7 linked regions of the Mus musculus genome follow. The protein of the gene in region 1 purifies or fractionates together with the protein of each later gene. This does not show direct contact. Links are inferred from orthologs where the notes say so. Each region holds a gene or a part of one and is shown in the gene's direction. Other genes may lie near its edges.

Region 1 (4,124 bases):
GGGCAGAGATGACTCCTCCCTTCCATGTTCTCTCTCCCCCTACCCCCTCCCACTGTATTTACTTCTGATATGCCTAACAACCTTGTGTCCATAATGGTCTCTCAGGTAATTGGGTTTGTTTGTTGGCATTTGAGACAGTGTCTCATGTAGCCCAGGGTGGCTTTGAACAACTTCTGGTCCTACAGAGATTATAGGTGTGTGCAGCCACACCTGGCTCAAGTAGCTACTTCTAAATGCTTTTCTTTTTTTTTCCGAGTTCAATTCCCAGCACCCATGCTAGGTGGCGCACAACCCCCCTGTAACTAACTTCAGAGTCCAATGCCCTCCTTCTGGCTTTCTGAGCTCTTAAAAGATCAAAACTGCCCCAAGGAACTCGATGCCTCTATCAGCAGGAAGTAGTCTACGGATATCGAAGCCCCCTTTTCCTCTAGCCTTCTTTCTCCTACCTAGTGTTGGGGGGTTGAGAGGGAGACAAGTGGTAGAAATAGGAACCCATAAAGTGGTCAAAAGTCTGGCTACAATGTTGTCTAAGTGGGACACAATGAAAAAACCGAAAAGGAAAGGCCACCCGAAGTAACAAGGGACCTCACAAGTTCAGCAAGGGTCCCTGGGCAGTTATCAGCCCTGAATATTTACAAACTCTAGTACAGCCTCGGGCTAATCTCAGTTCACTGTTTAGTAATGTGGGGAGCAGAATGGAAAAGACACCCCCATACACACACTACGGTCTTCCGAAACAGCCGCAGAGGACTAACAGAACTGTGTGCACGCCTGCTATCGGCTTCTACTAGGGTCTGGAACTTCAGGGGCAGCGATGAGAGTGAACATGCCCGGGGACTGGGGGCACTGTCATTTCCGAATCTCCGGCAGTAGGACAGACCCATCAAAATGCAAGCTGTGCCTGGAAAGCAAAAAGCTGCAACCCGCTGCAGAGCCCAGACAATCGAACGAAGAACAAGCCTGAACCGATCTGAATTAGGTTGGGAAAAACTGTGAGCACACCACCGCCGCCCAGAGCGCGACTTCCTCAGCTCCGCCCACGGGCGCCTCCTTCCCCAGCCCACGCTCGCCGCGGAGGGTCAGCTCCAGCCGGAGACCGGCGCTTCTGGCAAGCTCTCGGTCCGGAGCACTGGATCCACCGCGGTGAATCGGGTCGCAGGACTCCAAATCGCCTGCCCCGCCCCTCCCCGGTACTGGATGTGACGTCAACAAAGCGCTCCCAGTTCCGACCTTGCCCCGAGTCTCGGCGCCGATCTTTGACGTCATTGCCATGCGCCTTCCCCTCCCTACTCGCTGAGCGCCCCCTTACGTCATCTCTAGGCGCCTTCCCGCCCCTCAGGTGTTCAAGCTCCGGGCGCGCGAGGTTCTCGCTATTAGCCCGCGAGTGCCGCTTCCTCCACGCTCTCTGCAAACATGTTTCCGAGCGTCTCCTCTCCGCGAACCCCAGGGCCGGGGACCCGACGCGGTCCGCTAGTCGGGATCGGGCCCACGTCCACGCCTAGAGCGAGCAGGAGGGGTCTGTCTCTGGGATCTGCGGTTAACTCGCCCGTGCTGTTCTCGCCCGCAGGCCGGCGCAGCTCGGTGAGCTCACGGTAAGTGGGGGTTCGGGGACCAGCGGGGTCCGCTCCACAGCGGGGAGGTGGAGCCTGGCAGTGGGGTAAGCTGCCGCAGAGTTCGAAAGTACTTCTGGTCATTCTCGCGTTTTATTGTCGCTGCTTAATGGTGGCCCTCGTTTTGCCCGTTCTCTGTTTAACTCTTTATTGGACCCATGGATTCACTCTGTCTCCGCGCTACAGAAAAGAATGAAAGAACCTTTTGAGCACTACGCTTGCAAGGTAGGAACATACTTCAGATTATTGTAAAGATTAAAAAGTCATTTCTTTATTATGTTGACACAGGTCAGTGTCGGGCTGCTGTTTGTTTAAAGTTGTGGTTTGACTCTGTGGCGTTTGACACGAGTAACATTTGGTCTGGTGTAGTCTTTTTGTGATATAGTGTAGGAATGCAGCCTGGAACTCAGTCCTGTCCACTTTGGGACAGCCCATGCTACGTACCCTAGGCTGACTTTGCTCAATCCACTTTTAAGATTCTTCTATTTCAAGCATGCAGTAGCTTGTCTGGCTACCATCATTTTGTTTAACACTTCCAGCTTTAAGTCAGGATCTCAGCATCTCAGGATTCAGTACACCTATCTGAGTCATGGTAAGAGCCTACAAACCTGGCAAAAATGTTTTCTCAGTGCCTAGCAAATGCTTATTACTACATACTGATTGGCAGTTAAAGGACTTGGGCCACAAAATGTGATGGTTGTGACTAGGTTACATAAAAGCACTTTGTGTGTGTGTGTGTGTGTGTGTGTGTGTGTGAGAGAGAGAGAGAGAGAGCGTGCTTCACTAAAGATGCTGGTGTGCTGCCAAGTCCACATGTATAGTAGAATTGTTACCCTCCTCAATGTAATTAACACGAAAATTCAGAATTGGGTTACCTTTTTCTAGAAGAATTTCTTCTGTTCATCTTTCAAAAGTGAATTTCTGGGATGGAAAGATGGCTCTGGGGATAAGAGCACTTGCTTTTCGATATCTATCTATCTATCATACAATCATATATATATATATACACATATATACACACACACACATATATGTATATATGATGGGTTAAAAAGATAGTAAGATGCATATATGTTCTGATACATCATTTTTGCTCAAAACAAACAAAAAAACCAGTAAATTAATCTCAAAAGTACCTGACAACTATTGCCTTAAAATTATTTTAAAAGGTATTGCTGGACATGGTAGTACACAACTTAAAATCCTAGCACATGGAAAGCTAAGGTAGGAGGACCCTGGATCAGAGCTAGTCTTGGCTATATAGTTCCAAAGCAACCAGAGACACACAGTGATGTGTGTGTGTGTGTGTGTGTGTGTGTGTGTGTGTATGTTTGTGTGTATGTTTGTGTGTGTGTGTGTGTGTGTGTGTGTATCTTAAGTGAATTTTTTTCTGCATGAAAACAGGAAATACTGAGTCTAACAGAGACTTATGATTAAAATGTATGAACCTACAAGTCTTGTGATAATTCAGAGAGTAACTGTGATGCTGAGAGCACACGTGGGACCCTTGTTTTTGTTTGCTTGTTTTTTGAGACAGGGTTCTGGAACTTACTGTGTAGACCAGGCTAACCTCAGGCAGATATCACAGAGATCTGCCTCCTCTCTGTGCCTGGCTTTCACTTTATTGTTTAAGAAGAACCCTTCACAGTACTGACCTCAGAGGCAGAGGTGTACTCACTTCTAATTTCTGAACTCAGATGACTCAGGCATGGTGGTTAGTTTTTTGTGAACACAAACTAGAATCATCTGAGTAGGGGGGAGCCCAATTAAGAAACCCCCACCCCCACTCCTGAGATGACACAGTGGTTAAGAGCACTGACTGCTCTTTCAGAGGTCCTGAGTTCAATTCCCATCATCCACGTTGTATCAGCAACAGCTTACTCATATATATAAAATAAATAAATCTTTAAAGAAAAGAAAATGCCCCCATAGGCTTGCCTTCAGGGGTGATTTTCATGATTGGTGATTGATGTAAAAGGGCCTGACTCACTGGGCAGTGCCACCCATTGGCAAGTGGCCCTGGAGTGTATAAGAAAGTAAACTGAGCAAGCCAGTAAAGACCATTTATCCATGGCCCCTGCTTCAGTTCCCGCCTCCAGTTTCCCGCCATGACTCCCTTGGTGATGGGCAGTGACCTGGAAATATAAGATCAAATAAACTCTTTCCTCCTCAAGTTGCTTTTGCTCATGGTCTTATATCATAGCAATTTCAATAAATTCTATTGAAAAGTGCAGTCAGTTACATAGTGCACACCAGCTGGTGTCTTTCACCATTACACATCATTAGAGATAGCTCAAGTAGGTTTGTAAAGGTGAGCATAATGGGAAATTTCAAGTTATAGTTAATCCTATGTGGTCTCTTTCTTTAGAGGAACGCCTACTCGGATATTCCCCCACCATTCCATATCAGAGTCTGTGAACTACGATGTGAGAGTGTTTGGATCATCTCTCCCTGTTAAGATCATGGAAGCCCTGACAATGGCTGAGGGTAGGTGTCATCTTTTCATTTGTTCCC
Region 2 (3,500 bases), on another chromosome or scaffold:
TTTCTTTCCAGGTGAAGAGGACAACTCTAGTGGACAGCAGAACCTCTGTTACTGATGTGAAATTTGCTCCCAAACATATGGGTCTGATGTTGGCCACCTGTTCAGCAGATGGTATAGTAAGGGTCTACGAGGCTCCCGATGTGATGAACCTCAGCCAGTGGTCTCTGCAGCACGAGGTCTCGTGTAAGCTGTGCTGCAGCTGCATTTCCTGGAACCCTTCCAGGTAAGCGCGGCCTTCTAAAGTGGCCAGGGCAGGTTGCAAGCTAAGAATTTACTGCTTGAATTTCTCAGATGCTTTTTGTAATTAGATAATATTATCCAGAAGACAGTTTCCACTTTCCTAGCTCCATAAAATGGAGGAACCCATTCATTATCAACCGTTTGGTGAGAACTTCTGACAAATTTTCTATGTATATAAAAATAAGTTAGGATATTTTTCGGAGACAGCTCTGTGCAAATAACCAGATACATACCAACCCAAGAAGACAGACTATACTCAGTCATGCATAGAACTCAGCCATTTTCCTCAAGGATCTTTTTCTCACAGAAAAATACTTTGTGATCATTTCTTCACATTTTAGTATATAATTTATTTTAAAGCATCCAATTAGTGAATCCCTTAATCAATTAATTAATGTACTGATTGGAAAGATCCTTATCTTATTGACTATGCTGGTATAGAACTTGCTGTGTAACCAGCCAGCTCTGGTGTTGAACTTTCCTGCTTCACCCTCTTGAGTGTTGGTCATCATGTCTGTCCCTTCGTTATTCCTGTTTATCAATTTTTTTTTTTTTTTTTTGGTTGTTCAAGACAGGGTTTCTCTGTGTAGCCCTGGCTGTCCTGGAACTAACTCTGTAGACCAGGCTGGCCTCGAAACTTAGAAATCCGCCTGCCTCTGCCTCTGCCTCCCGAGTGCTGGGGTTAAAGGCATGCTCCACCACCGCCCAGTCCATGATTGCTTTTTATTTATTATTTATTTTAATTACTTGGTAAGAAAATATGCAAATAACTAGAAGAGTAGAAATCAAACCCGAAAGTTCTCTTTTCTGAAAGGAAATGCTGTCAGTAGCTTATAGTCTAGCTTTTAATTCTGGTAGCCACTGTTACATACTAGATGATTATTCTTGCTCTCTTAGATTTTAACTGTTTATATGCACTGATAGCGGAATATGACTGGTATATATGTTATTTGTGGTAATCTTTAGTTGTTATGCTGGTAACTGAAGTTTTAAATTTATCTGTACTTAGTGATTAGTTCTTAGATTATATGATTCCTCTTTTAAATTTTTAAAAACGTAAAGAATTTTTATTTTATGTATATCGGTATTTCTCCTGTTTATGTCTTTACACTGCCATCACGCAGTGTCTGTGGAAGCCAGAGAGGGCTTTAGACTCTCTGGAACTGGAGTAGTAGACCACCGAGAGCCACCATGTATGTGGTGCTGGGAGTCAAACCCAGGTCTTCTGGAAGAGCAGCCAGTGCTCTTAACCTGGTTGCCATCTATATAGTCTCAATGATTCCTCTCTTACAAAGGAGAAAATTAGCCAAGTGATGGTGGTGCAAGCATCTAATCCCAGCACTCCGGTGGCAGAGGCAGAAGTAGAGGGGCAGAGGCAGAGAGGCAGAGGCAGGTGGATTTCTGAGTTTGAGGCCAGCCTGGTCTACAGTGTGAGTTCCAGGACAGCCAGGGCTACACAGAGAAATTCTGTCTTGATAACCTGGAAGAGGCGAGAGATGTAGAGAATGAATGAGCTTATTTTGCCCCTGTTTCATGCTGAGACTTCTTTCTATTCAATTCTGTTACATTGTTATAAATACATGATGAATATTTATAATGTTTGGGTTCTATAAATATTAACATGGGTATAGATATTTTGTCTGTGAGCTCTAGTTGACTCTGAACCTTAGCAGCCAGGTTATGTGAATATTTATTATAGATATACTCTCTCACCATAGTTCTTTGTAGCTTATCAAGTTTTCTGTTTAGATTAGTGGATCTAATTATGTGATGCTTTAGTAACAAAGCTCTAGTTTAGTTTTTTCCCAGTGTTAACTGTTGGAATGCCCTTGTTTAGAAGAAGCGCTTCTTGAGAAGCAGTCGTGAGGGACAGTGTGTGAGGTGCTCACACAAACATGTAGTGCGGCAGGGCTGTGGTGAACATCCAGATGTGATGGGGAGGCCAGGCACTTGTAGGTTGTCTGTCTCCTGGAGTCCAGGTCTGAATCCTGTTAAGCCAGCAGCTTATTGTATTACATAAGTGTTTGCCTTCCTTCCTAGCTCTCGTGCTCATCCCCCCATGATCGCTGTGGGAAGTGATGATAGCAGTCCAAATTCAATGGCCAAGGTTCAGATTTTTGAATACAATGAAAATACCAGGTCAGTACTGCTTTGTTCCAAATTGTGTTTACGTCTTAAACGGCTGTCCTTTATTGTCTGCGTTGTACGGGATTCACTGTTACCTGATTCACTGTTTCCTGAGAGATTCCAAGTTCTGTGCTATTTATACTTGGTGGTTTTTTTTCCAAGACAGGGTTTCTACATAAATAAAATCTTTTTTTTAAAGATTATTTACTTATTTTATGTATATATGAGTACACTGTAGCTGTCTTTAGACACACCAGAAGAGGGCATCAGATCTCATTATGGGTGGTTGTGAGCCACCATGTAGTTGTTGGGAATTGAACTCAGGACCTCTGGAGGAGCAGTCAGTGCTCTTAACGGATGAACCTTTTTTCCAGTCCAAACCGAGACTTTATTTTAGATAAGTTTTGATTAAGTATTTTAAGATACACTTAAATTGTAAAGGAGCAGACTGGGCCTTATTTTGGTTCTTGGGCCAATCCGACAGAATTTTTTTCTTTACCTATTAGTGATCTGTCCATGGAGGCCAGAGCTCTGAAATCCAGTTGTTGGCCTGGCTGTGCTCTTTCTTGGCTGTGCTCTTTGCTGGCTCTTCCAGCGATTGAGCCCAGAATCCTGGGCTGTGGCAGCCATTCTAGGCATCTCCCCTGCTTTGTATTTTTTCACTCTGTTTTTTCTTAGAAACATTTACTTTGTGTAGCCCTGACTGTCCTGGAACTTACTCGGGAGACTACGCTAGCCTCAAACTTGGAGATCCACTTACCTCTGCTACCCTAATGCTGGGATTAAAGGCGTGGGCTACCACTGCCCTGTTTATCCTGTTTTGTCTTATCTAAGGGCATTGAATTTTAGAGTCAGTCCTACTCTAGTGATAATGAATAAGGAATAGATAAATAAAAAACTTTTTTTTTTTTTGGAATAAGGTTATTCCAGTTTGGGCCTATGAGTTAAGTCATTTGGGGGCCACTATTGAGTGCCCCCAAAAGGCAAGCATTTTCTGAGAAACATTGAGATATGTTGATGAACTTTTTCACGTTTCTGACATTTAAAAGAAAAAATTAGTTATTCATTTATTTTGAAATGTACATAGTTCTGGTGGGCCTGGAGCTCATAGAAGGTTTTCCTGCCTCTCTGCC
Region 3 (4,258 bases), on another chromosome or scaffold:
CATACAGAACCCTTTCAAAATAAGCCTAGATGTGTCTGTATTCTAGGCAGCCATGCTATGGAATCAGTCCCCTCTCTACTTCCAGTCTTCTCTGTGTCTCTTTTTACAAGTCTGCTGTGTGTATATGTTCGCCTTTATGTAAGCACATGTGTATGGAGGCCCAAGGTTGACACTGAGTGTCTTCTCCACTGCTCTCCACCTTGTTGACTTGCCCCGGCATCACTTGTCTACACCTCTAGCACACTGGGGTTGCAAGCAGACTACTACACCAGTGTCTCCGTTAGCCCTGGGGATTTGGATTCCAGTCCTCATAGCTGTCCAGGCGCTTTATCCAGTGAGCCACCTCCCCAGGCCTCACTCACAATTCTCTGATGAGCACCTAGGTTATCTCCTATTTATCTCTTAAAAAACAAAATTGAAGAAGACACAAAAGCATGAGCTATGGGTGATATGATTAGTTTGCCTGAAATATTTTTTTTTTCCATCAACCATTTAAACATGTAAAACCATGTTTAGTTCTAGATCTGGCTATTCACCAACAGGCATCTGGGCTGGCATGCCAATATCCACTGTAGTTCCAGCTTTTCCAGGGTTACCTAACTTTAGATCTGGCTGCCCAGGTATAAGAATGGTCACAAAGCAATCAGGACTATGCCGCCCCCTCTGTTCTACCTCCCAGCCTGTTGTGAAGACTCGATGAGACGCTGGATATGAACAAAACAGAAGGTGTCAGAGGGAATAAACTCTTGCTTTTAAACTGGATTCAAAGTGCACTGGAGCAGAAAATCTGAGACAGGTAGTTGTCGCTGGAAGGTAAAGTGAGAGAGCACCACACTTAGCTAACTATCCCTGCCACCACACCCCTGCATTAGCTGTACCTCGTGATTACCACAAATTTCTCCACGTCCATAATTGGGACTACTTAACAGAATTATAAGGCACCAGTGAAGGAAATAGCCAACCTCCTTATTGCCAGCACTTAGCAAATCTCCATTAAAAGATGACAGGTGACAGTTATTCTTCTTGCCTGGTCCGGAATGGCCCTCTGAAGGATGCAACGACAGAAAATCTGAGAAGCCTGCACTCGTCGTGTGCCAGATCCCCGATCTAACGGACTAAAAGAAGATTTTGATGGGTTTCGGTCTTGCCGAAGCCCTAGCGTCTTTTTTTCCACGGGACACCGTGAAGTCGGGGCGAAGCCACTGCGCAGACAACGCCACTGGCTGGCACGTCGCTGTCACCGAGATGCGTTCGCAGAGCAGCAGCCCGAATGCCCACTGGAACTGCGACCCGGGGGCACAGAAGAGACCAGACCCACCTCGTCCAGTGACCCAGGCTGGGTGCAAGCGGAGGGAGGAGCAGCGCAGCCAGGACGCCGGAAGGCAGAGGTTTGAATCGCCTCGGCGTCCCTTTCAAATCTCGCGGCACGACCTGGGAACCAATCGCCGCGCTCGCCCTCCGACCCGGAAGCAGAGCGGGCGCACGCCCTGGCCACCTATGGTCGGGAGAGCCTTGCCCAGGTCGCCTCCCCTGCTTTAGGTGCGTATCGAGTGCGGTGACCGGGGATCGCCAGCTTGTGCTGCTTCCCCAGGGGCGCTTCCCTGTTCTCCAGAGCTCTTCCTTGTGACCTCGCGAGGTGGGAGTGGGTTTTCTCGGGCGACGCGTGGGGGACACAACTCCAGGGACCCTGGGAATATTGACCCAGGGCTTTAAAGACCTGGAGGTCAGGGGTTGCCATCAAATCCGGACCTCAAGTCCCCTGCATGCCTTATACCTCTCTGCTCTATGGTCTTCTCACCTGCCGGTCCCGCGTAACATGTGTCCAGTCTCTCTGAGATGGGACTTAATCTGAAAAAACTCAGCAGATAACTCAGGATTTTACGTGTTCTTTCTTAGCCTAGGGTGCCTCCTTTTCATTAACAACAAAGTAAAAATTAATTTGCACGTGAGAATGCTATTTCTACAGTACACACTACCTGTCTCGAGACAAATTAGTTGAGGATTGTGACAGGTGTTAATAACGTTAGTATCACACATTACTCCAGAGCCTGTATTTTTTAATCTCCTTATTTTATTGCATGGGTAATGGTTGGTTATAACTATTGCTACCTGATATTATCCTTCAAGGCTCTTGGACTCCATGTGTCTTTAGGCAGGGGTGGGACTTTCCAGTTCATCGGACCCTTGATAGTTCAGGTGGTCTGTCAAATTAGAATGTTAAAGGTCATATAATTCGAACAAATAATGTAGCATAGTCCTGAGATAGGCAGGTGTGTGTATTTGTGTTTTCTCTAGCATGTAGGCCCAACACATGCTAAATCTTTTAAATCCTCAACCTGTTGACGAACTTGGCAAATTTCTTCATAGGCAAAGAAGGGACTATTGGTAGTACCGGCGTTTATGGTACTCTTGCATATGACAGTGTCAGTACAACTTTCCAACTACAAATAGTGCTGCATCTCTATTGCTTAATAATCTTAGGACTCTATTTGTATTAAATTTATTCATGTGTGTGTTAATATAAGCAGACTTCTCTTTTGAGCTGGCTCTGACATTGCTATACCAAGCCCCATTATGATTCTTCTGTTGAATGACAAACACTTTGTAAATTTTGTTTGTGATCCACAGTTTCCTGACAGGCAATAAACAACTATTTGATTCTTACAACTGCTCCAGCTTTGGGATACAAGATGAAGCAAGATGCTACAAGAAATGCTGCGTACACCGTGGATTGCGAAGATTATGTGCACGTGGTAGAATTTAATCCCTTTGAGAGTGGAGATTCAGGAAACCTGATTGCATATGGCGGCAGTAATTATGTGGTTGTTGGCATGTGTACGTTTCAGGTTAGTCCACAAACTATACGGAGTGACAGTAGAGATACTTTATCAGTAATGTGTACAAACCAAAGCTGAACTTAAAAGTATGTTGCTTTTAATACAAGAAAAAAAAATTTTTTGAAGATCTACAGGGAATTCCCGTTACTAATTGTTGAGACATGTGTATACATTATATAGATGATAGATGTAAAAACAATGAAGGTCTTCTTTCACCAATGATTCGTAGAGGTGTATTCTGATAAAGTCCAACATAACTGAGCACACATGTATTTCTATGTATTAGATACACTTCAGATTTCCCCACATCATTCTGTCATAGGAAACAAGGTGATACTGAAAGGCTAAACAATTATCTTCCAAGAAATTCCTAGCTTTCATAGATAATGTTCAGCTTTCCTATTAGCTTACTTTCACACCTTGTGTATCTGCAGCAGATATTCATATAACCATATAGGATTACATTTACAGCTGGCGTTCATCATAGCTCTCTCTGAGGTCTGTGTAACCTGAGAACCTAGACACTTAGTTTCGAATGGCTAAACTTGGTTAGATACTGAACCGCTCTTCTCTGAAGGTAAGGAATATGATTGAATCCCTTTAAGAGTGGAGATTCGGGAAACCTAATTTGGTTTGTGAGGGGTAGTGTGTGAGTGCACATAAAGTTCCCAGAATACATTCGGCACATGGTAATCCATATATGTGTATTTTGTGGTTAGTATGAGCAGCAGTGGCAGTTATACCCTCATATTTAATCATCCAAGAGAAATCGCTTCCAAGAGACTTATTACATGGTTCCTCACGGAAAACCTAGGGTCCACATAGGAAGCATTCGGCACTGAAGGCTCAACACCACCCCATCTTCCCAGAGTTTCGTTTCTGCTATTATGGTGTACCAAAATAATATTTACAGGACTATATTTCTATGACCCTTGGCCTAAGTTCTGCTAGACTGTCAGAATCATAAGTCATGCGTCAGGCAAATAATGTGGCCTTGGCTTAAGAAAGACTTATTAAAAACTTTCTCCAATGTGGACCACTTACGTGTTGAAAACGCAAGCGACCAGAGGTAGGCTTGAGCTTCCCTCATTGCTGTGTTAACAGATGTGGACATAGAATCTCATTGTCAAATACTGACAGATATATCTACCTGCAGTTCAAGTTCAGTTAGGAAACACCAGGGGAAATCAATAGGGGAGAAAAATCAGAAAAAGGAAAGATGAAGAAGGCAGACAACAAGGAGAGGCAGGGAAATGAGAAGAATGTTTGTATCATTCAAACGCTTGTCCTTGCTGATCCTCGGGTCTTATTTCCAAACTGTGTAAGGAAAAACAAGAGGCTTTTTCCTTTTATGAGCACATAGAGAAGACAGATCACATTCTGGTGGAGTTCAGTACAACTGTGCCGTTCCTCGTGTTCCA
Region 4 (4,073 bases), on another chromosome or scaffold:
GTATCGAAAAACAAACACACACACACACACACACACACACACACACACACAAAACAGAAAAAAAAAAACCCAACCAACAAACAAACAAAAAAATAAAGACAGACAGACTAAGGGCTGGTGAGATGGCTCAGCAGTTAAGAGCACTGACTGCTCTTCCAGAGGTCCTGAGTTCAATTCCCAGCAACCACATGGTGGCTCCCAACCATCTGTAATGGGATTTGATGACCTCTTCTGGTGTGTCTGAAGACAGTGACAGTTTACTCACATACATGCAATCTTTTTTAAAAAGTTAATTATAAAATTTATTTTATTGTATATATACTGGTGTTTTGTGTATGTCTGTGTACTACATGTGTGTGCCTGGTTCCACAGAGGCCAGAAGAGGGCATCAGATTGCCTGGGACTGTTCCACATGTATGTGAGTGCTTTGAATTGATCCAGGTTCCCCGGGAAGAACAGCGTATGCTCTTAACCACTGAGCCAACACTCTAGCTCCCTAAATCACTGATGATTAGGATTTGGATAAAAATTTGACAGAAAGGTTTTCCTTTATTTCCTTAAAGTTTGTGGGAGTTTGGTTTTTGAGTCTGGGTCTCAGTTAGCCCCGATGCGAGCTCAACCTTGCCATGTAGCTAAGGCTGGTTCTGAACTCCCGATTTTTCAGTCTCTACTTCCCAAGTGCTGCATCTTCCGGCTTATGTTACTATGCCCTACTTCCAAGTCATGTATGACCACCAATTTAAGGTAGAAATAGTTCAGAATAATCCTAAAGAAAGAAAAGTTGCCAGTACATAAAAGATTGAAGTCCCGTTGTTTACGGATGTCATGTGTCCGAGACTAATTCCAAAATAAGCGCATTATACTGGTCGGAGTTCGGAAAAGGGACTGAGAATATTCTAATAACAGACCAGGAGGGAGGGATCACAACTACCGCTAAGAGATAAAGTAGGATTACAGAGACGGAGTAGCTCTCCAATCGAAATAGATGCGCCAGCACGCTTCTGCGCATGCGCACACCCTCCCAGCCACCGCCTCTCCCGCCATCTCCGGGGACCTTTCCCTCACCTAGTGTGGGACTGTCTGTGGCGCCGCCTGATCTACTGGGAACATTCCTTGAGGACCCGTGGGCCCTAGAGCCGTTTTCATGATGTGTTGTATAGGTTAGAATAGTGGAACATGTGTGAAAGGCTTCAAGGGGCTGTGTTTGGCTAAGACGAAGGGATCTGTTGCGCTAAGGTCTGCAGGCGCTGCGCAAGCCGCCCTGGAGGGGGTCCTCTTTGGCAGCTGTCTGTGAGCGGGAGGCCTGAGCGCAGAGAAGCGGCCGCGCGGCAGGGTCCCAGCCGCGGGGGGCACGGCGCTATGGAGGAGCTCGACTGCGAGCCCGCAGTAACTGTAAGGGCGATCGGAGTGGAGTGGCTTGGCTTGTTGCACTGTGAGGGTTACGTTTCTTTGGTCATTTCAGGCTGCCTCCCTACATGCGGGACGCACGCTTCTTCCCTGGACACAGTTGCCACCATCCCGAATGTCAGGTTAACTGGGAACTAGGTTATGGCAATAGTGGTCCCTAGGTCCTGTGAATACTGGCCGGCTCGCGGAAACCCCACTGCATCACCCTTGTTTTTATAACCTTTCTGCTTCTCTAGTTTTCCCCCCTTGGGCGTTAGAATGAGATTGGTGTAAGCCCCACATGGTCACTCCAAGGGATGAGTTGGCCTTTCCCTGTCCTGCTGTCCTAGTCCGAGGCTTAATAAATGCATAATTTGTTCTCACGGGAGACAATAGACTAGTTTCTGTCGCGTTGTATTCTATTCCTCTTGCACCTAGAAAATGTTTTTTTAAGTGTGTATATGTCTGAATATGTGCACAGCATCATTGGATACGACCTAGGCTGTTCGCCTGGTGTATGGTGTTCGCAGTTACACTTGGAAGTTGAATGGACAGTTGTAGGGCTAACAGCTCCTGTGCCTCCTTATGTCTTACTAGTGGATTCCAGGTGTGAATTCCAAGAAGAAGCAAATGTGTTTTGACTGGGGCCCCGGCGAGATGCTTCTGTGTGAAACTTCCTTCAACCAAACAGGTAGGCAGTTCTTTTTCACATCTGTCTTGGCACATTGGTTGACTCTCTGAGGCAGGAAACTGGAGTTATTTGGCAATATTTTTATTTTTGAAACTTTGTTTTTTTGCTATTTTGAGACAAGTTGCCCCTATGTAGTCCTAGTGGGCTTGTCTTTGTGCAATCTTTGTGTAGGTTTGAATTCTACATCTTCTTCCCTCGACTTCCAGAGTGCTGGGACTTGAGGTGTGTGGTTCAACACTTGACATTAAGTAATTTTTAAATTTTATAGTCTGTGTATGGGCATTTTGTCTACGTGCATAACTGTGCACCACTCCGTGCTTGGTGCCGCAGAGGCCAAATGAGATCATTGGATTCTAGGAACTAGAACTCTATATTTATGTGAGTTGCCATATGGGGTGTTGGGAGTTGAACTTAGGTCTTCTGGAAGAGCTGCCTGTGTACTTCTTGTTTGGTTTTGGTTTTTTGAGATGGTTTCTCCGTGTAGCCTGGCTGTCCTGGTACTTGGTTTAGACCAAGCTGGCTTTGAACTCAGAAATTACTTGCTCTTTTTTCCTGAGTGTTAGGATTAAAGGCAGGAAATTTCAGCCAGTTGTCTTAGACGCCAAACCATCTCTTCAGCCCCCTTCCTATAATTAACCTTTAGAAACGACCCATATAGCCCAGGTGTGGAGATACGCACCTTTTAATCCCAGCACTCAGGAGACAGAGAGGCAGGTGGTTCTGTGAGTTCACAGCCTGCCTGATCTACAGAATGAGTTTTAGGTCAACCAGGGCTACACAGAGAAATCTTGTCTTGAGAAACCCAACAAAAACAAGCCCAAAGAAGTGAGTTAGACTGCCTCAGCTGAAGGCAAAGTCCTGGGTTCAGGCAACGCTCGCTTGCAACCTTAGATTTTCTACTGTGCAGAAGAGTTGGCGGGGGGAATAGAGAGTCCCCAGCTGCCTGGGATATGTTGCCAGACCCATTCTCAAAAACCAAGGATGTAGGCTATCACTCAGTGGCTCAGTGATAACTTCTTTAGCATGGGCAGTGTCCTTAATTAGATCATCAATATCACCAAAAAAGAAGTCTGTGTTGTGCTGCCTGCTTGTATTGTAATCTCAGCCTACACAGACCAGATGAAGACAAATCTTTTTTTCTTTTGGCGTAAACCTGGTTTGCTTGGCCGACTGTGTGCACTAGTCTTCCCTTGAGTTTTAATCCTCCCGTCTCATTCCCACCGGTGGAGAAAGTGGACATGTGCCCCAGGCTCAGCCGGGCTTTGTAATTAGAGAATTAGAAGTACTGGGATGTTTTTCTCTTTTGGGGAAAATGGTAGATGTTGAGTTACTTTTTTTCCTGTTTTGTTACAGGCAAATCAGAGAAGGTGCCGAGCTGCCCTTTTATCTACATCATACGGAAAGATGTGGATGTTTACTCTCAAATTTTGAGAAAACTCTTCAATGAATCCCATGGAATCTTTGTTGGCCTGCAAAAAATTGAGGAAGAACTGTCGGGGAAGTCCAGGAAAGCTCAGTAAGTGGTGGGTGCTGAGGCTGCAGTGAAGTCGTGAGAGGGAGGCGTCCTTATCCTTGTGAGTGCCGGGGCACCTCGGGGTTCCTGTTCTCCTGTGTATCTTCTTAGGGTGTAGTTGTGCATTGTGTAAATGCTGTTGGAAGACTTACTGGCTTGATATATATGTATCAACTCTTCCTTTTGGATTCCTACTTCATTTGTATGTGTCCCTTGAACACCACCACCGACCAAAATAAAAATAATATAAATATGGTGAAAGGAAGACTCAGACAGAGAAGCCCTTGAATTAGATCTCACTCTTGAAAGAGTTAAAAACGAGGCTGACAGATCTTTAAGAGCTGGTAGTCAGCAGAGTGAGTTCCAGGCCGCCCAGAGCTGCAGAAGCGAGACCCTGTCTTAATATGAAAGAAATACAGGCGTCAGCAGACAAGGCAAATGGAAAAGAAAGACTTGCTTCTCAAGCTTGTGTTTTTGACAAGG
Region 5 (3,500 bases), on another chromosome or scaffold:
TCTTAATGATTGAGCCATGATACTACTAATTGAAAAGAGCTGTTATAATGCTTTTGTAAATTCTTCCTTTTCAGAATACTCCTGAGGGTGATAAATATGCCTGCTCCCCTCTTCCTTCTTACCTGGAGGGCTGCGGCTGTATGGTAGAGGAAGAAAAAGACTCCCGGAGACCACTTCAAGATGTTTGCTTTCATCTTCTAAAACTCTACAGTGACAGGTAAACAAGGCCCAGGGTGGTAATCACTTCAATCAATCCTTGAGATAAATAAGGATGCAGTGGGATAGGAAAATCGCAGCAAACTGTCAACACAGTGCACACGATTCTGTCACAACAGAAACTTCCTAAAGCGATTCAGGGATTAATCCTCAGTCTTAAACTTTTAGGGCAGGATTGTTACTCTAAATTAATATTGTTGTTACAGGAATTTACATAGTTAAGATCATTTGTATTCTTTTGTGCCTGTCGTCTTTTCACTCAGCATGATGGTAAGATTTATCCGTGTTAATGTGAACAGCCAAAGTTGGTCTGGGGTAGATACTTGTTTTGACACTGCAGATTTTTGCATAATTTACATCCTGCTTTGCAGGTGGGTAGATATTGTTGGTTTGGCTGTTAGGGATAAAATTGCTGTGGATATTTACAAAACTCACTGCCTTAAGCCAGGTCTTGGGAGACTGAGGTGAGAATGGTTCACAAAAGCCCAAAAGTTTCAGTCCCCTGGGCAATGTAACAAGAATGCTTATTATTTTACATTTTCACTGGTGATGTATAAAATTTCTAATTGCTAGATGTCCTCTTCAGAATTTGGTATATGTAGAGGTACTCTCTGTATGTTGTATATATTATATATTTTTCTTTACTTTGGTGGTTTGAGATTTTGTGTCTAAATAGACCGGCCTAGAATTCACTCTCCCATGAGTTAGGATTATAATATTGTCCATGAAATAAGCTCTTACTAAGAAAGAGAATGGGCTGCTTAGTAGCTCTTTTTATTTTTTTGTTTTTTCGAGACAGGGTTTCTCTGTGTAGCCCTGGCTGTCCTGGAACTCACTTTGTAGACCAGGCTGGCCTCGAACTCAGAAATTTGCCTGTCTCTGCCTCCCAAGTGCTGGGATTAAAGGCGTGCGCCTCCACCGCCCGTCTTGTAGCTCATATTTTTAATCCCAGCCTTCAGGAGGCAGGTGGAAGTGGATCTGTGAGTTTACGGCCACTCTCGTCTATAGATCAAATTCCAGGATAGCCAGGGCTTTGTTATTACAGAGAAACCCTGTCTCAAATAACCTGTTCAGTACAGGTGACCTGCCTGCCGAGTATCCTGACTGAGTACTTTGTTCTCCTCAGACATTATGAGCTCAATCAGCTATTAGAACCTCGAAGCATAACTGCAGATCCTTTGGACTACCGCCTGAGCTGGCACCTTTGGGAAGTGCTACGTGCTCTTAACTATACCCATCTCTCAGAACAGTGTGAAGGTGTGCTACAGGCCAGTTATGCTGGCCAACTGGAAAGTGAAGGACTCTGGGAGTGGGCCATCTTTGTCTTCCTACACATTGACAACTCGGGGTGAGTGAAAGTCATTGAACCCGCTGGGAATATCCAGCACCTCAGGGCAGTACCTAAGGATTGCTGTTCAGGTCCAGTTCAGTAAGTGATTGCTTACAGTGCTTCTCAATTTGTGGATCTTAATCCCTTTGGGAGTCAAAGGACCCTTTCACAGGGTCACCTAAGACTATCTGAAAACACAGAGACTTACATTATGGTTCATAACAGTAGAAAAATTATGAAGCAGCAACAAAAATAATTTTATGCTTAGGGGGTCATAACAACATGTGTTGCAGCGTTAGGAGGGTTGAGAACCACTGGCTTAGAACATCTGTTAGATACAGCCATGTGATAAATCTCAAAGGGCCTGGAGAGATGGCTCATCAGTTAAGAGCACTTGGCTTCTTTTCCATGGGATCTGAGTTCAGTTCTCAGCACCTGTGTTGGGTTACCCACAACTGCCTGTGGTGACTCCAACTCTGAAGATCCAACACCTGTGACCTCCAAAGGGACCTATAGTCATGTGCACATACGTACCAACACACACATTTACACATAATTAGAAACAATAATATTTGAGATTAGACTTTGTGGTTTGTTTTGTTTGAAGTGGTCCTCTAAAGATAAGATTGCCCCTTTGAGTAACTGCCCAGGGGACCATCTTACTGTCCACCATAGCCTTCTCCAGACCAGGAATGATGCTTATGCTAGTCTCTGTCTTCCCCACAGCATGCGTGAGAAGGCTGTTCGAGAGCTGCTGACAAGGCACTGCCAACTGTCAGAGACCCCTGAGTCTTGGGCTAAGGAGGCGTTCCTCACACAGAAGCTTTGTGTGCCTGCTGAGTGGATTCATGAGGCCAAAGCAGTTCGAGCACACATGGAATCCAATAAGCACTTGGAGGCCCTCTATTTATTTAAAGCTGGTCACTGGAACCGCTGCCACAAACTAGTCATTCGTCACCTAGCTTCTGGTGAGTGCAAACCACCAGGTAATGCTGCTATGCGGCCGAGTTACACCTGTGAACCTGTGAACCTTCGTGGTAGTTCAAGCAGAGATAGCATTCAGTTCAGGACACAGCAGGCTTAGTCTGATTTTCTATGAAGAGATGAAGACTGCGAAGAGACTTGTTCTAAGCAAGGGTCTGTGAGGTGGGGAAAGATAGCACTGTTGTAGTTAACACAAATGTTCTTATTGTTCACTAAGCTCTGCTCACTTGTAGAAATGTTAACCAAGAACACCAGAAATAGTTGCTCAGCAGCCAGAAGCCAGGAGTTCCTCACCTGTGCCTTTTCGACTTTGACAACATCTGCCTTGAAATTTTGAGAAACAACATTCTTTGTCCTTCCTGCCCGCCTTAGATTTTTGTCTGTTCTTCTACACTGTTGTGAATCACACCTTTGTACACTGAAGTCAATGTTTTATTTCTTCAGATGCCATTATTAATGAGAACTATGACTACCTGAAAGGATTCTTAGAAGATCTGGCACCTCCAGAGCGCAGCAGCCTCATCCAGGACTGGGAAACATCTGGGCTCGTTTACCTGGATTATATTCGAGTGATTGAAATGCTCCACCGTATTCAGCAGGTACCTACAACTCCCTAAGCCACTGTCTAGCTTTTCTTTTCATTGGCACTTAGAGCAGCGACTTCAAAGGACCATACTTTAACCGCAGTGCTTGAGAGGCAGAGGCAAGCATATATATCTGTGAGTTCCAGGACAGCCTGACTATGTTCAAAACTAAAGAAAGAAATCATGGTGGCACACATATAATCCTAGCACTGGGGAAACGAGGCAGAAGGATCAGGAATTTGAGGCCAGCTTGAGCTGTGTTAAATGCATTGAGCATGGAACTTTGGAGTTTTTTATTTGTGCCTTACCCTATAACCTAAGCCAGCCAGAACTCACTGTATATAGCCCAGGTTGGCCCTTTTTAGTATGCTTATTGGGAGTGGCGG
Region 6 (4,093 bases), on another chromosome or scaffold:
GGCTGCCACTCTCCAGGCCCCTCTCCAAAAAGCCTTCACACTCCTTGAGTCTTGGCATCTTGCTGGTAGCTATCTTCAGCCAAGGTATTCAATCCCAGTTTCAACATACGACCAGAAAGATTTTTTTTTTCAAGACAGGGTTTCTCTGTAGAGCCCTGGCTGTCCTGGAACTCACTCTGTAGACCAGGCTGGCCTTCAATTCAGAAATCTGCCTGCTTCTGCCTCCCAAGTGCTGGGATTAAAGGCATGCGCCACCACTGCCCAGCAAAGGATTTAGCTAATGGGAGTGGAGGTTCTACTCTGGGCCACTTGGCTTCTAAGTGTGGTGGGGAAATGTGACCACGTGCATCTGAGGAGCTGCCCTGGGGCTCTGTGTTCCCCTTTCAGTGCTGTGTAAGCACCAAAGCTAAAAACAAGAGTTTGGGGAGGTTCCAGTTGTTCTCCCTTGAAACAGTCAGACTCCCAGGGACTTGAGACTCTCTGCTTGCCATCCCTTAAGAAAGCTGGTGCATTTTTGTATACTATCATATCAACTAACAATGAAGCTTTGACTTCTTCCGTTTCAATTTGTATCCCCTTGATCTCATTTAATTGTCTTTTTGTTCTAGGTAGAACTTCAAGTACTATGTTGAATAGATAGTGAGAGAGTGGTCAGCCTTGTCTTGTCCCTGAATTTAGTGGAATTGCTTTATCCATCAACGTAATTTACCATATAAACAAACTGAAAAAAGCCCACATGATCATCTCATTAGATGATGAAAAAGCCCTTAACAATATCCAATACCCCTTCATGTTAAAAGTCTTAAAGGGATTATGGATACAAGGACCATACCTAAACATAATAAGGCAATATACAGCAAGCCAATAGTCAACATCAAATTAAATGGAAAGAAACTTAAGCAAGACCTAACAAAGCACTAGCCCAGTCTACTTGAGAAATTAACCTCTACGATGGTCATGATAAGCCAGTGGGACCCGGAACCCGCAGAAAAGGAGAGTGAAGCTATAATGACTAGTCATTTTATGTATGCATCTCAGGAACCAGAAAAAACTTAGTCTAAATAAAAAACCTGCTAGCGACGGCTTCAAATCATAAAATCCCTGGATTAGGGTCGCCACAGCAACCAGAGCCCAACAGTAGCCAAGATAAAGGCAGAACTGCAGGAGGGCGGGGCCGAGGATCCAGAAGACGCGGAACCTTTGTGTGAGTCGAGTGTGTTGCTGACCGGAAGATCCTGGGTGACAGCCTGCCGGCTGCGGGCCGGCACCGGAAGTGAAGCGTTTTGAGCTGCCACGTCCGAGGCCGTGGGTCGCCGCTGCTGCAGCTATGGTAAGTGTCGCGATCCCTGCGATAGTCGTGGCTTTGAGACAGACCACCTCTACGTCCTCAAAGTTTGCTTGTCCTGCCTCTCTCTGGGTCTCGGAGCGGGAATTTAAGGCAAGGCCACTGGGCCTTCCGGAACTCATAGGCCCGGGCTGCGAGCCCACCTCCTGCCCGTCTCGTGTCTTGTCCTCCAGAATTGGAAAAACAGCCAAAGCTATCATAGGATCTACTGCCTGACAAGCCCTTAGTGCGTTCCCACGATCGCTCACATCCTCTGCCTGCGCGTAGCCTGCGGAGCAGATGCTACTATCATCAACACTTGGGCTAGGCAGTGGCAAGCTAAGATCCAAATTCTCCTCATCATTCGCCCTGCCACCCACTACCTCAGCAAAGGAGGTGGAGGGATCAGTTGCTTGGACACAGGACTCCCATGTGTGATGGTCCCTTCGGGAAACTGATGACAGGCCTAGCTGAGTGACTCCAGGGCATCGTCTCAGCTTTTTATTTCTGTTTCTTATTTTTGAATTTACATGGCCTCTGTGGTATGTCTTTCACCGCACCCCACTCCGTATAATACTAAGGGAATGAAACTCTGGAAGTCTTAGACCCTGGTTGGCGCAGCGGTGCAAGGAGCTGCCTCCTTCTGTTGGCCTTTGGCTCTTTTGTTGCCAAGTTGGAGACTCATACACAGGTTCATTCTAAGTTTGTACCTGGTGTGATTCTGATGAGCTGAACTGTTTTGAGTGCAGCTTCTTACTGTGTTCCAGCAAGCGCATAAGTGTCCTTATAAGATGCTCCGGAGGACTGCTCCAAGAGCTTTAAAATACATAGCATCCCAAAGTGTGGATCATAACCCATGGCTGCTGGTTAAGAATGGTCATAAGGATGCCAGCTTTCCAAAGTCCTGTGGGTCACCAATAGAAAATTACTTTTCCTTGAGCCAGTTGGGATTGTGGGGAATTCTTGGTCACATCACCCACCTTATATTGGTGTGTGTTGGGGGAGGGGGTTAGAGGATTAGTAGATAAGATTGTTGCCAGCAGTGTGGTTTTGGTAAGGGTGTTTTCTTCACTGCCACCTTAAATTGATTAGTTTTTCTGTTGACTATAATTGATTGCTCCTGGTGCCTCTCCAATGCTCACGGGAAAATGTCATTGTCTCCAGGCAGGTGCTGCTCCTCTTTCTCTAATCTTTGCCGACACTTTTCAGAGCATTTAAGATTCTCAAGGAAACACACTTACTTATTCAGTGTGTGCCTTCTGAATGCCTTGCCGCCGTACTCTCCCAGGGTCTACCTTTCTGAAAAAATAGCCCAGGCTGTTGGAGAATTCTTGATCCACCCTCTTGATCCTCCAGAGTGTTAAGGATCTGCAACACCACACCTGCCTTGAGGAGTCAGGCTTTGTAATTGCAAAGTTTGCACTGGGAAAGGTGACTTGTTGGAAATGGTGAGAAATGTCAGTCTCAAATGGAAGCTACCTTTTCAATCCACTTTTCTCTCCCAAGAATTTAATAGTGGATGAGAGAAGAAAAAAAAAAAGATGTGTGTCTTTGCTCTTTTATTAACTCAGTAGGTAGTTACTAAGTTCTTTCTATCTGTAAAAAACATTGTGCTAAATAACTTAAAGAGATTCAAAGCTGAGGTGTGTGATGGTGCCTACCTTTAGTCCGAGCACTCAAGGCAGAAGCAGATAAATCCCAGGGCTGGAGGCAGCCTGGTCTATGCAGTGAGTTCTAGGCAGCTAGACCTATTTACTAAGACAGACAGCGAATGCATCAAAGCTACAGATAGTTTCAAGGAGCTTACCTTCTCTAGCAGAGAAGTAGCATCAAGCTCTATAGCTGTCATGGCTGTTGTGTATGTAAGAGTTTAGCTAGTTGGGGATCAAGGGAGGCTGATTTAAATCAAATGGAGAAATCGCTGGTGTCCATCACAACTGTTTTTGGCCTCTACAGACTATCAGACCTGGGTCCCACAAGGTGAAAAACTAGATGGGCCTTTCACGGTTCATAGTAGGCCAGAGAGTAACCTCAGAGGTAACTAAAGCCAAATCCTTGTCTTGACTTATATAACTTGTTTCACATAAACTGTCTGGGCCATCAGAATCGCTTGCGATGCAGAAAGGGAGCGTGAACTCTGTCCCAGCTTGGTCCCACTGACTGTCTTTGCCCATGCTAACCTTTCGTGCTTGGATCATATCTTCTCTCTGAGCAACAAGGTTTTCATCCCTTAAGGCAGCTGTGTATCCCCTTCATCCTGGGCTCTTTCTGCCCACACAAACCGCAGTATGGCTGATGTGGCTACTGGTAGGTTGTTCACACGCGAGCTCCTCTGAGGCAAGAGCTGCGGCTCCACACTGTGCAGTCCTTTACACGGGGCTTAATGCCAAGAAGATCCTCAGCCGGAAGTAAAAATGCACATATGTAATCCTGGCATTTGGGAGGCTGAAGCAGGAGGATACTGAGTTCAACGCAAGACTGAACTACATGATGAGAGCCAGTCACACGAAAAATAAAAAGAAAGCGTTTATAGAATGAGCGTGCTAGTGAATGAATGAGTGAATGCCCGTAAGAACTTTAGAAGCAATTGGTGCTTTAATGAGATGACTGGTGGCTGCTGTCGATGAATTCACAGAATGTCTTTGGTTCTAGGTGTCAGTAATGAACACTGTGGACACCTCTCATGAGGACATGATTGTAAGTATCCACGCAGCCCTTCTCCTGGGCCTGGACATGGGCAGCCTCAGTAGGCGTTTACTGTATATTAGT
Region 7 (3,500 bases), on another chromosome or scaffold:
GAACGTTGGTTTACCAGAAGAAAGCCCTCGAATTTCTGCTGCTCCTTCTGATACTCACGAGATTCATGTAAAAATATTACTTTTTTAATGCTTTCTAAATTTTAGTATAGTTGGGCTTTAAAGTTGCTCATTTAAACTTAATCTGCTCATTTGACAACAACATTTTTAAGATCTCAAAAAATAAGTATAAATGTTTTGTGGCATATAAAATAACACAAACTTTAAGAGATTAGTTTTTATGTAAAATCAAAAGATTATATTAAGGCACAATTAACATAATATTAATTAATATTAGCAGTTTTGTTGTTGCTCATTTGCTTTAAAATGGAAGGGATTTTTGTTTTGTTTTTTAACTACTTGAGACGTATTAACTGCTTGAGACATTTAGACATCATTTGTAATAAGTGAATATAGTAAACAGGATCTCCCTGCATATCTGTGGGAGAGAGACACTAGAAAAAGAATTCTTTTAGTACTTCATAGGACTTTCTGCTTTTCTACAGTCTTATCAAATCCCTTTCACGAGTAAGGGAAATTTGAGTAAATGGAGTTAGGAATAACTCTTAATAACTCTTCTAACTCATAAAAATCAAATTGTATGGAATTTGGGGAGTTTATTAATTCATAAATTCATCCACATTCATCTTTTTAAGATTCTCCCCCTGAAATAAATGGCACTAAATTTCCTATTTCTAAAGTTTGGAGGCAACAAATCCATGGGAGTAGGTAATGGGACTCCTCACTTCTAGGTTGGGTCCAGTCTGCCAGTTCACTATTTGGGGAGTGGGAAAATGTCTTTGTCTAGGTGGGTGATAATGTCTACCTTCTTGGTCAGGAGATCTCTCTGTTACTCTCTACCTCCTCCTTTTTCTCCCCTTCCCTTACCAAAAGGTAAATGCAAGGACCATTCCTTCTTCCACCAAACCCTTGCAAGAGAGGTACTGAACTTGAAAGCCTTAGGAATTTCATGGTTTATGCAGCCCCAGCAAAGGGAAGAAGATTGAGTCTAGCCCAAGGGAGCTTATGTAGGTGAATTGTTCTTCAACCTTACGGGGATCATGCTGTTTAGAAAGTGTGGATAGTTAGGTAATTTGGGGATTATTGTTTGGGGTTATTTCCTTTTCTCTAAGTTTTTTTCTTGGTAAAAGAATAAGTCTTTAATTTTCTTAGAATTGTTAGCATAATGATTTTCAAGATTTTGTTAATGCTGTCTTTTTAGCTAAGAAAATGTGGGATTTCTAGTTTAATTCCATCCATAATATGTGTAGTTATTTTGATTGAGGTTTCATTTCTTAAATGGATGTTTCATGACATAAGTCAAGTGTAGTTTGTATTTTAAAATGGACACACAAAGAGTAAGATGTCGTTAAAATTCTGTGTGCTTTAGATCAAAATGAACTTTATAATTCATTAACTAGTTTCTTTACCTTTAACTCATTTTAGCTAATTGGATGTGAAAATCTTGAAGTTCAAAATTCAGAAGAGGAGGCCAAGAATCTTTCATTTGATGAGTTGTATCCCTTAGGGGCAGAGAAACTTGAGTATAATCTCAGTACTATTGAGCAGCAGTTTTGTGACTTGCCTGATGACAAAGACTCTGCTGAATGTGATGCTGCTGAAGTAGACGGGGAACTTTTTGTGGCCCAGAGCAACTTTACCCTGATTTTAGAAGGTGAAGAAGGAGAAGCTGAGGCAAGCGACTCTGCAGCACCTAATATGTTACCGAAAGCGACCAAGGAAAAACCTGTGTGCCACAGGGAACCCCATAATCAGGAGCGCGTTACAGATTTGCCATCTGCTGTGACTGCTGACCAAGAATCCCACAAGGTAGAGACTTTACCGTATGTGCCTGAACCGGTTAAAGTGGCAATTGCAGAAAATCTGTTGGATGTAATTAAAGACACCAGAAGTAAGGAAGCAACTCCCGTGGCAGCAGGTGAGGCTGGTGATGAGGACGGAGCAGTGATAGTCTCAAAGGCTGCACATTCGTCCAGGCTGACAAACTCTACACCGAAGACTGTTAAGGAACCACATGCAGAGACTGTAAATACCAGCCAGAATGATGACATGGTTTCTTCTAGAACTCTCACAAGAAGGCAGCATGCCCTAAGCCTGAATGTCACATCAGAACAAGAGCCTTCAGCAGTTGCCACTCCTAAGAAGAGAACTAGAAAAATTAAAGAAACTCCTGAGTCTTCTGAAAGGACCTGTTCTGACCTAAAAGTAGCACCTGAGAACCAACTGACAGCTCAGAGTCCTCCCGCTCCTAGGAGAGGAAAGAAGAAGGACGTTAGCCAAGGCACACTGCCAAGTTCTGGTGCTGTGGAGCCGGAGCCGGAACCTCAGGGTACGCCGGGAAGACTGAGGCTGAGAACGCAGCCACCCGAGCCAGCAGCTGAAGAAACTCCTTCTAGAACAAAAGTCAGGCTTTCATCTGTTAGAAAGGGAACCCCTAGAAGACTTAAGAAGTCTGTAGAAAATGGGCAAAGTACAGAAATTCTAGATGATCTCAAAGGGAGTGAGGCAGCAAGTCATGACGGGACTGTCACAGAGCTGAGGAATGCCAATTTAGAAGATACTCAGAATATGGAGTATAAACAAGATGAACACAGTGACCAGCAACTGCCTCTAAAACGAAAGAGGGTCAGAGAGAGAGAAGTTAGTGTGTCAAGTGTGACAGAAGAGCCAAAGCTTGACTCATCCCAGTTGCCTCTTCAGACAGGACTCGATGTACCTGCCACCCCTAGGAAACGTGGTAGACCCAGGAAGGTAGTTCCCTTAGAAGCTGATGGTGGCACAACTGGTAAGGAACAGACAAGTCCTCAGAAGAAAGATGTTCCGGTTGTCCGGAGATCTACACGGAACACCCCAGCTAGAAATGTGAGTACTTTAGAAAAATCAGTTTTAGTGCCAAATAAGGAAGCTGCTCTAGTGGTGACATCTAAGAGGAGACCTACAAAGAAGTCTGCAGAGGAAAGCTCAAAAGATCCATCAGCGGCAGTCTCAGACCTGGCGGGTGGAGCAGCCCACACAGAGTCCGCTGACCGAAGGGACGGACTGCTTGCCGCCGCTGCTCTCACGCCATCTGCCCAGGGCACAAGGACTAGGTCTAGAAGGACCATGTTGTTGACGGACATTTCTGAACCCAAAACTGAGCCTTTATTTCCTCCTCCTTCAGTGAAGGTTCCAAAGAAAAAATCAAAAGGTATTTAGTTTTATTCATTTTTATCTTTCTTAGAATACAGAGCCTAAAATTTTGAGGGTTTTGTTGTTGTTGTTGTTGTTGTTTTAGTTAATTATTTAGTTAATTTCCTTAAAGAAAAATTGTGATTAAGACAGAACACCTACTCCCAAAAAACCCAAACCACCAGATAAAATTGACAAAAAGGTTTGTTTCCAGGTTGATGTTCAAATTGACGATTACCCAGATGCTCTATGGCTTTGTGTCCCACAGTCCATTTGACACAGGTCTATCTTGTTCTCTTTCCTCTCTGTCTTTA

The links.
Region 2: the proteins of Nup133 (region 1) and Seh1l purify together in Homo sapiens (affinity purification with mass spectrometry; 4 studies listed by BioGRID and IntAct, with this or other methods). This does not show direct contact. The link is inferred for Mus musculus from reciprocal best matches to the Homo sapiens genes NUP133 and SEH1L.
Region 3: the proteins of Nup133 (region 1) and Nup37 purify together in Homo sapiens (affinity purification with mass spectrometry; 4 studies listed by BioGRID and IntAct, with this or other methods). This does not show direct contact. The link is inferred for Mus musculus from reciprocal best matches to the Homo sapiens genes NUP133 and NUP37.
Region 4: the proteins of Nup133 (region 1) and Nup85 purify together in Homo sapiens (affinity purification with mass spectrometry; 5 studies listed by BioGRID and IntAct, with this or other methods). This does not show direct contact. The link is inferred for Mus musculus from reciprocal best matches to the Homo sapiens genes NUP133 and NUP85.
Region 5: the proteins of Nup133 (region 1) and Nup98 purify together in Homo sapiens (affinity purification with mass spectrometry; 6 studies listed by BioGRID and IntAct, with this or other methods). This does not show direct contact. The link is inferred for Mus musculus from reciprocal best matches to the Homo sapiens genes NUP133 and NUP98.
Region 6: the proteins of Nup133 (region 1) and Sec13 purify together in Homo sapiens (affinity purification with mass spectrometry; 4 studies listed by BioGRID and IntAct, counting the BioPlex papers as one, with this or other methods). This does not show direct contact. The link is inferred for Mus musculus from reciprocal best matches to the Homo sapiens genes NUP133 and SEC13.
Region 7: the proteins of Nup133 (region 1) and Ahctf1 purify together in Homo sapiens (affinity purification with western blotting; 3 studies listed by BioGRID, with this or other methods). This does not show direct contact. The link is inferred for Mus musculus from reciprocal best matches to the Homo sapiens genes NUP133 and AHCTF1.

What each region holds. Positions count from the first base shown.
Region 1 is NC_000074.6:123,946,466-123,950,589, reverse strand, and holds the start of Nup133 (nuclear pore complex protein Nup133), read left to right. Parts: upstream 1-1,324; 5' UTR 1,325-1,413; coding exon 1,414-1,592; intron 1,593-3,978; coding exon 3,979-4,097; intron 4,098-4,124. UniProt on the Homo sapiens protein: Involved in poly(A)+ RNA transport. Involved in nephrogenesis.
Region 2 is NC_000084.6:67,784,876-67,788,375, forward strand, and holds part of Seh1l (nucleoporin SEH1), read left to right. Parts: intron 1-11; coding exon 12-223; intron 224-2,280; coding exon 2,281-2,379; intron 2,380-3,500. UniProt on the Homo sapiens protein: Component of the Nup107-160 subcomplex of the nuclear pore complex (NPC). The Nup107-160 subcomplex is required for the assembly of a functional NPC.
Region 3 is NC_000076.6:88,145,534-88,149,791, forward strand, and holds the start of Nup37 (nucleoporin Nup37), read left to right. Parts: upstream 1-1,458; 5' UTR 1,459-1,539; exon of another isoform or gene 1,540-1,636; intron 1,637-2,628; 5' UTR 2,629-2,690; coding exon 2,691-2,846; intron 2,847-4,258. UniProt on the Homo sapiens protein: Component of the Nup107-160 subcomplex of the nuclear pore complex (NPC). The Nup107-160 subcomplex is required for the assembly of a functional NPC.
Region 4 is NC_000077.6:115,563,171-115,567,243, forward strand, and holds the start of Nup85 (nuclear pore complex protein Nup85), read left to right. Parts: upstream 1-1,273; 5' UTR 1,274-1,359; coding exon 1,360-1,392; exon of another isoform or gene 1,393-1,432; intron 1,433-1,983; coding exon 1,984-2,077; intron 2,078-3,430; coding exon 3,431-3,593; intron 3,594-4,073. UniProt on the Homo sapiens protein: Essential component of the nuclear pore complex (NPC) that seems to be required for NPC assembly and maintenance. As part of the NPC Nup107-160 subcomplex plays a role in RNA export and in tethering NUP96/Nup98 and NUP153 to the nucleus.
Region 5 is NC_000073.6:102,123,167-102,126,666, reverse strand, and holds part of Nup98 (nuclear pore complex protein Nup98-Nup96 isoform 1 precursor), read left to right. Parts: intron 1-74; coding exon 75-217; intron 218-1,342; coding exon 1,343-1,564; intron 1,565-2,272; coding exon 2,273-2,514; intron 2,515-2,974; coding exon 2,975-3,129; intron 3,130-3,500. UniProt on the Homo sapiens protein: Plays a role in the nuclear pore complex (NPC) assembly and/or maintenance. NUP98 and NUP96 are involved in the bidirectional transport across the NPC. May anchor NUP153 and TPR to the NPC.
Region 6 is NC_000072.6:113,737,882-113,741,974, reverse strand, and holds the start of Sec13 (protein SEC13 homolog), read left to right. Parts: upstream 1-1,293; 5' UTR 1,294-1,327; coding exon 1,328-1,330; intron 1,331-3,976; coding exon 3,977-4,021; intron 4,022-4,093. UniProt on the Homo sapiens protein: Functions as a component of the nuclear pore complex (NPC) and the COPII coat. At the endoplasmic reticulum, SEC13 is involved in the biogenesis of COPII-coated vesicles.
Region 7 is NC_000067.6:179,752,016-179,755,515, reverse strand, and holds part of Ahctf1 (protein ELYS), read left to right. Parts: coding exon 1-67; intron 68-1,443; coding exon 1,444-3,205; intron 3,206-3,500. UniProt on the Homo sapiens protein: Required for the assembly of a functional nuclear pore complex (NPC) on the surface of chromosomes as nuclei form at the end of mitosis. May initiate NPC assembly by binding to chromatin and recruiting the Nup107-160 subcomplex of the NPC.